Linked DNA regions of Cricetulus griseus. The protein of the gene in region 1 interacts with the protein of each later gene in a pairwise test. Links are inferred from orthologs where the notes say so. Each region holds a gene or a part of one and is shown in the gene's direction. Other genes may lie near its edges.

What was found.
Region 2: the proteins of Rnf11 (region 1) and Ubqln2 interact in binary tests that used the Homo sapiens proteins (3 or more experiments, as listed by UniProt). The link is inferred for Cricetulus griseus from reciprocal best matches to the Homo sapiens genes RNF11 and UBQLN2.
Region 3: the proteins of Rnf11 (region 1) and Rnf168 interact in binary tests that used the Homo sapiens proteins (3 or more experiments, as listed by UniProt). The link is inferred for Cricetulus griseus from reciprocal best matches to the Homo sapiens genes RNF11 and RNF168.

The regions. Positions count from the first base shown.
Region 1 is NC_048595.1:40,350,325-40,354,527, forward strand, and holds the start of Rnf11 (RING finger protein 11), read left to right. Parts: upstream 1-1,403; 5' UTR 1,404-1,860; coding exon 1,861-1,983; intron 1,984-4,203. UniProt on the Homo sapiens protein: Essential component of a ubiquitin-editing protein complex, comprising also TNFAIP3, ITCH and TAX1BP1, that ensures the transient nature of inflammatory signaling pathways. Promotes the association of TNFAIP3 to RIPK1 after TNF stimulation.
Region 2 is NC_048604.1:111,414,374-111,418,466, forward strand, and holds the start of Ubqln2 (ubiquilin-2), read left to right. Parts: upstream 1-1,293; 5' UTR 1,294-1,566; coding exon 1,567-3,510; 3' UTR 3,511-4,093. UniProt on the Homo sapiens protein: Plays an important role in the regulation of different protein degradation mechanisms and pathways including ubiquitin-proteasome system (UPS), autophagy and the endoplasmic reticulum-associated protein degradation (ERAD) pathway.
Region 3 is NC_048597.1:57,245,463-57,249,408, reverse strand, and holds the start of Rnf168 (E3 ubiquitin-protein ligase RNF168), read left to right. Parts: upstream 1-1,146; coding exon 1,147-1,294; intron 1,295-1,384; coding exon 1,385-1,981; intron 1,982-3,946. UniProt on the Homo sapiens protein: E3 ubiquitin-protein ligase required for accumulation of repair proteins to sites of DNA damage. Acts with UBE2N/UBC13 to amplify the RNF8-dependent histone ubiquitination.

The DNA.
Region 1 (4,203 bases):
AAGAATAATAATAAGTCAGTAAATGGTGAATAAAAACCGATCAAAGTCAACCTCTTGCCTTCTTGTTGAAGGAATGACTGTGGAGAACAGCCTCATCTGTCTTCTTTTCCTTTCTTTTCTTTGCATATGCTCTTTGACCATTTATTTGTTCATTCAACCAAGGAAAAGAGTCTACCTTAGGCAGCATGCCAGGCCTACACAGGGAAGGGACAGATCATTCAGCTTGATCCACCTCACAGAAAGGCACAGGGACTGGAAACTCCGAGGAGGAGACTAACCCAGACTGGAGGGTCAGAAAAAGCTTCCCTAGCCAAACAAAAATGAATCCAGGAAGGACTTTTGGGAATAATGATTAGCCCAATGAGGGGTAGAAGGTCAGAAGTAGGGTCTGTCTGTGGAAATCCCAGCCTTAGGGAACAGTCTTTGAGATAACTAAAAGCACTTTGGCCATGTTGGAGTTGAGAATTTATGAAACGGGGACAGTACTGCTAATAAAATAGGCGTTTGTTTGTTTGTTTGTTTGGAGACTGGGTGTTTCTGTGTAGCTTTGGAGCTTATCCTGGCACTCGCTCTGGAGACTAGTCTGGCCTTGAATTCACATAGATCCACCTGCCTCTGCCTCCCTAGTGCTGGGATTAAAGGCGTGCCCCACCAACGCCCTGCTGTTGGGTGTCTTTTTTTTTTTTTTCAAGACATGGTTTGTCTGTGTAGCTCTGGCTGTTCTAGAGCTCACTCTGTAAACTAGGATGGCCTTGAACTCAAGAGATCTGCCTGTCTCTGCATCCCGAGTGTTGGGATTAAAGGTGTGTACCGTGGAGATCCAGATTTCTTAAGATTATTCTGTGGGAAGTACTGAGAAGCTACTAGAAATTTTAAGTGCAACTATATGGCATTAAAAAACAAAAATCCTCAACCATTCAAAGGGTTGGGGGGGGCAATGATGAATGCAGGGAGACTGAGAATCAATCGACTGCAAACGTTAGATTGAGGGGTGGTGGGACTGGAAAGAAATGAAACAATCTGATAATCTCTTAGCTGTGTGATGCCGGGAGGGTAGAACAGAGATAGGAAACACAGGGCGTGGCATTAAGTGTGGACTTTATTCTGAAAGGATAAAGAAGAAGCTGTTTAAACACCTCAGCTATCTGCCTAATCCATTCACATGCGGGCATATAAACATCACCTCGCAGACAGAGTGAACAGTCTTTGAGGACGCTGCGCAGGTAAGGGACCAGCCTCACGCCGCGAGCCGGCAGGGTGCAGCCGGGATACAGAGGGGCGCCCGAGACTGACGGACACACAGTCAGCACCTTAAACTCAGCACCACGCAGGGGGCGGGGAGCAAGGAGCCCGAGGCGGGGCCAGAGCACGCACGGCGGCGTGACGTAGGCCCGGCTGGCCTCGTTCTGGCTGCCGCCGCCGCGCTAAGGCGGAGTAGGATGAGGCCCCAGGCCGCGGCTCCAGCGTCGGCAGGGGCAACAGCCGCTGAGGCAGCAGCTGAGGCAGCCGGGACGGCCGCGCCCCCCCCTCCTGACCTGGATTAGGCCCAGCAGCCCCGTGGCCGCCGCCGCCTCGCGGGGGGCGGGGTGGGGGAAGCGCTCCGTCTCCCCGCCCCCGCCCCCCTCAGGCTCCCGGCGCGACCCCGGCGCAGCCCGCGGCCTAGCCTCGCGCCCCCTGCCCCGGGGGCTGGCATGAGTGGCCCCTCGGCGGCGCCGGGGCGCGGGGGAGCCGCCTCCTGAGCCCCGGGCCTGCCGCCTTGGACCCCGCGGCGCCGGGCGAGCTCACCGCTGAGTGTGCGGGAGACCGGGTCACAGCTTTCTTCCTCCCCCAGATCTCACGCACACACCTCAGCCCCGGAAGATGGGGAACTGCCTCAAATCCCCGACCTCGGATGACATCTCCCTGCTTCACGAGTCTCAGTCCGACCGGGCTAGCTTTGGCGAGGGGACGGAGCCAGATCAGGAGCCGCCGCCGCCATATCAGGTACGGGAGGGTGTGTGTTGGCGTGAGAGGAGAGGTGGCTCGGGCCCTCTGCCCTTGGCCTCCACGGCCTGGCCTCGGGGGGCGTTGACCCCTTCGGGGCTGGTCTTGAGGGTGTCTGCTGCCCAGTCCCCGACTAGAGAAGGATCCTTCTTGCCTTCCCCTTGGGCACCGTTTGGGGACGGTGTTCTGTCCTTGAGTTCAGGAATCAAACTATGTGATCATATCCCCTTGGCTAGTGTCTGGTAGTTAGCTTGTAGAGTTAAGGATGACATGGTTTTCCTGCCTTTATGTCTTGAGTTGTGTGATTTCCTCAACAGACTGCCAACAGGATTATGGGTTGTGGGTAGGTTGTCACCCCCCCCCCTTTATAATTGTGTTTTCGTTTATAGTCCTCCCTACTCCCACCCTATCTTTGTTAATTGGTTCGGGAGAATGTCTTTTTACCATCTACTTGGGGAGGTAGAATTCCAAGTGGGAATTTTAGCCTCAGCTTCATAAAGAGTTACTTGTTTATATATACATACGTGGTAAATTTTAAGCTCCTCCTGTTTTTGCTCCACCCCTGTGACACACCTTTTAAGTAAGTTGATTTAATAAAACCTTGATTATCTTGAACTTTAGAGACCTTTCAGACATCTGTTACTTAAGGCCTTCTCTTTATCAAGACTCTTGAATGAGTCTTTCTCAGTGATAACTGAGTAAACTCCCAGGTGGGCTTGAATGCAATTCTTCAGTATTTTCCTGGAGAGAGGTGGGTTTTCTAACTTGGCAGTCTCCTTTGTTTTTTATGTGGTGACATCATTATCTAGTTTTGTGTTTTCCTTTCTCAATTCTGTGTAAACCAGTTTCCCATCATGTGATCACATACGCTGATTTTCTGACCCTCTTCAGGGGTCTTCCATGCACATTAGTCCAGTCTTCATTGTAGCCTCTACATTTCAAGCTTACCAAACCAGGCTGTTGACAATTCTGACAATTTCGTCTTCACTCCAGGTGATCTTGCTTCTAGGAGCCTTTGCCCCAAGGTTGCCCAGGTGAATATCTAATCCTCTTCAAGGACTCAGCTCACTATCTAAAGTTCTGACATTCCCTTCCTGAATTCCTGGAGGTGTCCCCCACAAACCTTCCACACTTATATAAGCAATACCCTGCCTATAATAGTTTAGTATCTTTGTTCAGGCAGTTGTGTGTCTCATCCTTGAAATATGTGTTCCCCTCCCCTTGTATAAGCTGAATTTGGGACATTTTCCAGGTGCTTTTCTACCCCAGCATCTGACTCATAGTAGATGCTCAATAACTGAGATAAATGAAGAATAGAAGCTCTGTTCTCACTGTTTCATGCAATTCCTGTCACATAAAAATGCAGTGTACCCCATTTCTCCCAACTTGTTTAAATTGCTCCAAGAGCAGACTTTAATACTAAATGGGATCTGGAATTGAACTGAGAGCCTTGTACATGCTAGCAAAACACTACAACAGAGCTATAATTCCAGTACCACCACCACCACCACCACCACCCTTTAAAAAACAAAACAAAACTGTTTCATGAAGTCACCAGACAGGCCCTCAACTTTCTGTCCTACTGTCTCCGCCTCCAGAGTTGCTAGAATTAGAGGCCTATACACCACTAGGCCTTTCTCTCAGGTATCTATAGCTTACTGTTTCCCCCTCTACGATAGCTACTCAAATGTATTAATTTAGGTGTCATGAGCAAACTTTTTCCTCCCAAAATCTATGCTTCATAGCCTCTTTCTAGGAAAATTGAATACCTGACTTGTTTTCTCTGTTAGAGTTTATAGAAACTATATTTTTGTCCTTTCTAGAGGGACTAGGTAGATCATGATGGGTTTTGGTATTTCCAGTATTTTTTGGAATGTGTTATTTTTGACAGTGGAAATTGTATTGTGGTTGCCTTTTCCTGAAATGAATGAGCGACCCGGATACTGATATGCAAAGTTAGTATCAGAACATAAAAAGAGAATTTTAGTCTGGCATGGTCGCTCATGCCTGTCATCCTAATGCTTGGAAGGAAGGCTGGGGCGGGAGGATTGTTTGCTGACAGCTCTACATAGTGATGTCTGTGCTGGTCTGGGCTATAGAATGAAATCTTATCTCAAGAATTTTTAAAAGAAAGCTGTAGAAATAATAATGCCTCCTTGAAGTCTATACTGTATTGCTAATATTTGTTTCTACATGACTTGGAAGCTAAAAGAAATAGTA
Region 2 (4,093 bases), on another chromosome or scaffold:
TACATTGTTATTTCCTTTACTCAGTAATGCAAAAGATAAATAGGTTAATCTTTGCCACCACTATTGTCTGGCTGTCAGTTTTTACCTACATTCTTGTCTGGAAATATATTTGTTGTTTTTAAAAATTATAAATGCAATGCATACTTATCCATCAAATTGAAAATCTGATAAAAATAGAAAATAAGAATTATTCACAATTTCAGCTCTAATTGTTACCTTTACTGGAGTACAGCCTTTCAGATTTCTTTTCCACACAGGCTACTAGCTTTTTGATCAATATCTACATGCCTGTATTGTTTCCATTTGTTTAGAAAAAATATTAACCCATATTAAATACCATCTATTATTTTCTCGTCACTACAGTGCATTTTGATGTACACTTTTAGAGACACTTAATATTACATGAATTAGCCACCATCTTTTAGATACAGGGATTATTTTATTGTATGGCACTATCGTAGTATGTTTGAGTAATTCTATGTTTTACACACACATTGAAAATATCTAAACACTGTTTTTAAATGCTACGTTATTAATATACATCATAATATGCTTTTTTGAATCGATTAGGTATTTCTAAACAAAGGTGCAAATATTCAAAATGTTCATTTGTATTTTCAAACTGCCGTATTACAATTCATACTACAACTAGCATGAGAGTGCATTTTCTCGGCTCCTGGTCAACAAGATTTAACATTCTCTTTCATCTTTGCAAATATGATAAAGTCGAAGTAAAATCTCATTGTTTTTATTTGAATCCCTTTGATTAATAGCGAGCACAATCATATTTTAGAAGCCTGCTGGCCGTTTTTTCGCTTCTTTTGTAAAATGCTCGCTCCCGCCATGCCTGCCCTTCCCCCATCCGGGTGTTCGTTTTCCCTTTTTGCTTTGTCAGAGTTCTTTACTATTCATTTTTCGTCCTTTGCATGGGATCGGTTCAATTCAGGCTTTCATCCTTTCACTGCCTCCCAGATTGCGAACCCACATTCTCCATTGGTCTTTCAGGGGCTGCTAAAGAAGCTGCCTCCCTCTTCCTCCTCCCGGCCTCCTCCCTTCCCCCTCTCCTCGCCTCGCCTCGCCTCGCCTCGCCTCGCCCGGGTCCCCTCGCTTTCTCTTCCAGCCTCCTTCTCTTCCCCCTCTCTTTGTTTATTTCTCTCTCCCTCCTTTCCCCCCCTCTGCAGGCCAGGAGTTTTGCACTCGGCCGAGCGACTGTGGCTGGGCTGGCGCCGCGTCAGCAGGGGGCGGGGCCGGGCCGGGGCGGGGCGGGGCGGGAGCGCGGGCACCGCAGCTGCAGGAGTTGCTGGGAGTGCGCGCGGACAGATCACAAGGCGGCGGCGGAGAAGGCCTGGAGACCTGCTCGCTCAGCGCTCGGCCGCGGCCTACGCCAAACCCTGTGCGCATCCGACTACCGGGAGCTGCAGCCTCCATTCATCTCCGAGGTACTGTGTTCCGCACTGCTCGCGGGGCCGCCCAGTCCTCTGCTGCGGCGCCTCCTTCCTTCCTCTTTCCCTCGCGCCCTCTCGCTCGCCAGCGCCTTCCCTGCCAGCCTGCGTCACCGCGGCCGCCATGGCTGAGAACGGCGAGAGCAGCGGCCCCCCGCGCCCCTCCCGCGGCCCTGCCGCTGCGGCCCAAGGCGAGGCCACCGAGCCAGCCGAGCCCAAAATCATCAAAGTCACTGTGAAGACCCCCAAAGAGAAAGAGGAGTTCGCGGTGCCCGAGAATAGCACCGTCCAGCAGTTTAAGGAAGCGATTTCTAAACGCTTCAAATCGCAAATCGATCAGCTCGTGCTGATTTTTGCCGGAAAAATCTTGAAAGATCAAGATACCTTGATGCAGCATGGCATCCATGATGGACTGACTGTTCACCTTGTCATCAAAAACCAGAACCGCCCTCAGAGCCAGTCCACCACGCAGCCTAGCACCACTGCGGGAACATGCACGACCACCACCACCACCACGGCCGCAACAGCGCCAGGGGCGCCAACGGCGCCAGCGTCGACAACGGCTCCCAGGAGTCTCTCCACACCTTCTCTCACGAATAACAATCCGTTTGCGTCGGGGACCCTGGGAGGACTTGCTAGCCTTAGCAGCCTGGGTCTGAACTCGACCAGCTTCACTGAGCTTCAGAACCATATGCAGCAGCAGCTCATGGCTAGCCCTGAGATGATGATCCAGATCATGGAAAATCCCTTTGTTCAGAGCATGCTTTCGAATCCTGATCTGATGAGGCAGCTCATTATGGCCAATCCGCAGATGCAACAACTGATCCAGAGAAACCCAGAGATCAGTCACCTACTGAACAACCCAGATATAATGAGGCAGACTCTCGAAATCGCCAGGAATCCTGCCATGATGCAAGAGATGATGAGAAATCAAGACCTGGCTCTCAGTAATCTCGAAAGCATCCCAGGTGGCTACAATGCTCTGCGGCGCATGTACACTGACATTCAAGAGCCCATGCTGAATGCCGCACAGGAGCAGTTTGGGGGTAACCCCTTTGCCACGGTGGGGAGCAGTTCCTCAGGGGAGGGCACCCAGCCTTCCCGCACAGAAAACCGGGATCCACTGCCCAATCCTTGGGCACCAACGCCAGCTACCCAGGGCTCTCCGACCAACACCACGACCACAAGCAGTGGCACTATGCCTGGCGGTAGCTCCTCTAGTAGCACCTTCGGGAACACCATGGCGGCAGCTAATTATGTTGCTAGCATCTTTAGTACACCAGGAATGCAGAACCTGCTGCAACAGATAACTGAAAATCCCCAGCTGATTCAGAATATGCTGTCTGCACCCTACATGAGAAGCATGATGCAGTCGCTGAGCCAGAATCCAGATTTGGCTGCCCAGATGATGATGAGTAGCCCACTGTTTGCTTCAAATCCTCAGCTGCAAGAGCAGATGCGTCCACAGCTCCCGAATTTCCTGCAGCAGATGCAGAATCCAGACACGCTTGCGGCCATGTCAAATCCGAGAGCGATGCAAGCGTTAATGCAGATCCAGCAGGGGCTACAGACACTAGCCACTGAAGCACCTGGCCTCATTCCAAGCTTCGCTCCAGGTGTGGGGGTGGGAGTCCTGGGAACCACCATAACCCCTGTGGGCCCAGTCACTCCCATAGGGCCCATGGGTCCTATAGTTCCTTTCACCCCCATAGGCCCTATTGGGCCTATAGGACCCACTGGCCCTGCAAGCTCTCCTGGATCCACCGGCACTGGGGTCCCCCCTGCAACCACTGTGAGCAGCTGTGCAGCTACTGATACCATCAGTCCGACAATGGAAACTTTACCCAGCCCGCAGTTCATTCATCAGATGGTGCAGGCTCTGGCAGGAGGAGGAGCAGGACCAACTCCTGCCCAGATGGCGAGTGCAGAAATGAGATTTCAGCAGCAACTGGAACAGCTCAACGCCATGGGGTTCATAAATCGTGAAGCAAACTTGCAGGCCCTAATAGCAACAGGAGGCGACATCAATGCGGCCATTGAGAGGCTGCTGGGCTCTCAGCCATCGTAATTACATTTCTGTACCTTGAAAAAATGTATCTTATTTTTGATAATGGCTCTTAAATCTTTAAACACACAAAATTGTGCTTTACTTTTATTTTGATTCTTTTAAATCTGTCTACTTATAAATCTAAAAGGATGCATTTTAAGGTGGAGTCCCTCCCTTCTTTCCCTTCCTGCTCCTCCTCCTCCCGCCACCCTCCCTCCCACCCTCTCTCTCCCTTCCCTTCCAGCCTGCCCTCTCCCCTCTTTGTTTCCTTCCCTCCCTTCTTCTTTCCTTCCTTTTCTTCTTTGGATTTCCTTCCTTCTCTGATTTGAATGGTGGGGATCAATGCTGTTTCACTCAAAGGTGTTGCATGCAAACACTTCTCTTTATTCTGCATTTATTGTGATTTTTGGAAACAGGTATCAGCCTTCACAGTTGGGTGAACAAGTTCTGTCCTACAGATGTCCAGTTTATTTGCATTTTAAACATTAGCCTATGATAGTAATTTAATGTAGAATGGAGATATTAAAAAAGAAGCAAATTATTTGAAGCTCTCTAATTTGTGGTAAAATATTGCTTATTGTGACTTTGGCATGTATTTTTGCTA
Region 3 (3,946 bases), on another chromosome or scaffold:
CATCAGGGTTGTGACATTAGAAATAAGTGTAAATGTCAAATTGTCACAGGTCCGAGGATTCTCTGTCTCAAACTTTCAACTTTCCATTGAGATCAGCCTTCTAACAGATTTACAGGGGAGCTGAGCCAGAGTCTGTTAGACCTGGAACTCTATGTTGCCTGAGTTGGACTTCAGCTTTAGATCCCCTTGCTTCTGTCTCTACCTTTATCACCTAAAGGTTGGGATTACAAAACACATGTGACCACACCTCTCTCAAAATACTTTTCTTTCTTTCGTTTTTTAAAAAGGTCTCTTTGAGTAGTACTGGTACCCACTGTGTAGACCAGGTTGGCCTCTAACTCAGAGATCCTCCTGCGTCTGCCTCTGAAGTGTTGGGATTAAAGGTGAGTGCCACTATTGTTCTTTTGTTTCAAATGCTAGGATAAAGCTGAAAGGGGGTCCTGCGTGGGGGACCGTGGCAGATTCCATGGCTGGCAAGGGTGACCAAGGCGGGGGACAAACATGCCAGGTAGATAGAGCTTAAGTGAGAAGTTTCATTAGAAAAGGAAGGGAGGGGGCAGGGAAGGGGAAGGAAAGAGAAAAGAAGTAAAGAGACACAGAGGGAGGGCAGAAAAGCAGAAAGAGAGGAGAACGGAAGAGCAGAAGAGCCATCACCTAAGAGAGAGCAGGAAAAGCAGAGAGGAGAGCCGGAAAGAGCAGAAAGAGAGCGTAAAATCCGCCTGCCTCTGCCTCCCGAGTGCTGGGATTAAAGGCGTGTGCCACCGACGCCCGGCAAAGCAAAAATTTTTTTAGCTGAATTTGTTGCAATTTTTTTTTCTTTTGGCCCTAAGAACTTTGGAAACTTTGGTTAGGAGATACAAAATGTAGTTCTAAGAGTACTGAGAGAATAATTATCAATATTACTGCTTGGATCTTGCTTAGCGAGTTCACTTTTGAGCCAGTGACTAACCAAAATTTTCACAGCCTACACGGATGAAACCACCTTAGACTGGTGGAGCTGCGACAAGCAGATAGGGCTCGACTGCGCGCGCGCGCAGCTCCCGGAAGCCCCGCCCAATCGAGAGGGTGCTTGGGTAAGGAGGGCCGTTTTGGCGGGGAATTGTGACGTCTGTGGACGTGTGTACCTGCTCCTGCCGCCGCCAATGAATGGGCCGGCGGCGCAGCGGATCTGAGCGGCTGGGTCTCGGGACCCTCCGCGAGGCGACCAGGAGCTGTAGCGCGGGGACTGTAGCACTGCCTCCGCCTCAACGGCGAGACGGAAGCCTAGCGGCGGCCCGAGCCCGACCTCCGGGCGGTACGAGGTGCTCTCGGAGCGGCGGTCCCCGCTTCGGGACCCGGCAGTCCCGGCGGCCTCGCCCGAAGAGGCGGGTGCTCACCCGCTGAGGTGAGGAGGGGAGCTGGAGCCGACTGTCCGCCCCGCGGGGAGCCGGAACCACTCACCGACCCGAGCCGGCTGCGCTCTCGAAGGAACGTTCGTTCATTCCCTTGCTGGACGCAGGGCATAACTGCTCGCCTGTTTGCCTCGAGCCTCGGGAAGGTCAGCCTGTCTGGATTCCAGTACGCTGCCTGTGTGTCAGAGTAAATACCAAACCGCTCGCCGGCTTCCTTCGTACCGTGGTTAGCCGAAAGGCTGGTTTCTTTGAGCTCTTGACGTTGAGTAGGCCTCGTGAGCGTCTGGAGATGGCGGCATCCAAAGAGGCCATCCCTTCCTTAGCAGAGTGTCAGTGCGGCATCTGTATGGAAATCCTAGTCGAGCCGGTAACCCTTCCCTGCAACCACACGCTCTGTAACCCGTGCTTTCAGTCAACTGTTGAAAAGGCCAACCTGTGCTGTCCCTTCTGTCGCCGCCGGGTCTCTTCGTGGACTCGGTATCATACCCGAAGAAATTCTCTTGTCAATAGAGACCTGTGGGAGATTATTCAAAAACACTATGCAAAGGAGTGCAAGCTTAGAGCCTCTGGGCAGGAATCAAGGGAAATCAGTGAGTAAAATTCAACATGGTTTTGGGGTTAAAAAGAAAAAAAGCCCAAAATGGTTTAGAGAGGTATCCATCACTTTTCTATTTAAAGAAAAAAGGTGTGTGGGGGAGGAGGGAGGTGGTGGCGCACGCTTTTAATCCTTGGGAGGCAGAGGCAGAGGCAGGCGTATCTCTTGAGTTCAAGGCCAGCCTGGTCTATAGCGCTAGTTCCAGGACAGCCAGGGCTACACATAGAAACCCTATCGGGGGGGGGGACGGGGGGGGGAGAAAGAAAAGAAAAAGAGGACTAACTAGTCTAAATTGACCTTGGGGATTTGTGGTTTTGTGAACCCCGCCCCCATATCGGTTAAAGGCAAAGGCAAATTTTTTTTATCACCTGTAATAATGCTCAAGTTGTGTTCACCAGCTGTGAATTGAGTTTTTAAAATTGCAAAAAAAAAAAAAAAGAATCGCCCCTTTAGAGTTGTCTAACTTCTCAAAGAATTGTGTGGTCAAATTCCAGAGTTCTTTGGCTTTGCATTACTTTCTCTGACCTGTTTATTAATTTCCTTCATTTTATGCTCCGTCCTTAGTATGCAGCAAGCCAAAAATAGATTCCAATTGCCAGTTCCATCTAGTTCAGTCATTTTTGGTTGACCCCTTCCATTCTGGGGGTGCAAAGAGCTACAAACTGATCCCTAGTCTTTAACACTATACCAGTATTACAAGCCATTCAGTATTTCCTTTGGGGCCTGAATGTGGTGTTGGTCTGTAGAGTACCTGCCCTTTATGTGTTTCAAAACACACACACACACACACACACACACACACAGAGGTGACTGGGAGTGGTGGTGCACACTTTTAATCAAAGTACTCAGAGGCAGGGGCAGGTGGATCTGAGTCCAAGGCCAGCCTAGTTTACAGAGAATTCCAAGACCTCAAGGGCTACACAGAGAAACTGTGTCAAACAACTAAACCCCCACAAAATTTCCCGTCTTAATCATTTTAAGCAACAAATCTTGAACAAGAAACCCCCAGTTTTGTAGAGATGCATATGGTAATAGTCGCCTATTTAAAATACTGCTTAAAGCAGGGTGTAGTCCTGCATGCCTTTAATCCAATCACATGGGAGGGAGAGTCCAGAAGTCGGATCTCTAAGTTGAAGGTCAGCCTCCTCTCTTTATTTGAGCTCCAGAACTACAACAGAGACTTTGTCTTAAAATGGCACACACCTTTATTCCCAGCACTGGGGAGGCAGAGGTAGGTGGATCTCCAAAGTTCAAAGCCAACCAGAGAGAGCAAGCATTATGTGCATGCAGGAACCCTTGGAGATCAAGAGAGGCATCAGATCCCCCAGAACTACAGTTAGGACAGTTGCAATCAGAAATTTCTTCTTATTCTTTTTTTTTTTTTAAGATTTATTTATTTATTATGTATACAGTGTTCTGTCTGCATATATCCCTGCAGGACGGAAGAGGACACCAGATCACATTACAGATGGTTGTGAGCCATCATGTGGTTGCTGGAAATTGAACTCAGGACCTCTGGAAGACCAGCTAGTGTTCTTAGCCACTGAGCCACCTCTTTAGCCCAAATTTCTTATTTTTTTTTTAAAGTTCACTTGATAAATAAAAATAGCCAAGATATCAAGAGAGCAAAAGGCAGCCCACAAAATAGAAGAAAAATATTTGTAAATTATAGATAATAAGAAAACAGACAGCAAACATTTGTAATTCTAACACTTGGAAGGCTGGGGCAAGAAAGAGGTCTGCTGCAAGTTTGGGACCAGCCTACGCTATGTCAAAAGAGTCTGAAAATGGGGCTAAGAAATGGCTCATCAATTAACAGCACTTCTCACAGAGGGGACTGGGTTCAATTCCCAGCACCCTCACCAGGCACCTCCTTATAACTCCAGCTGCTGAGGATCTGAGGTCCTGCCCTCTTCTGGTCTCCATTGGTGCTTGCATGCCTGTGCTGAACATAAAACTC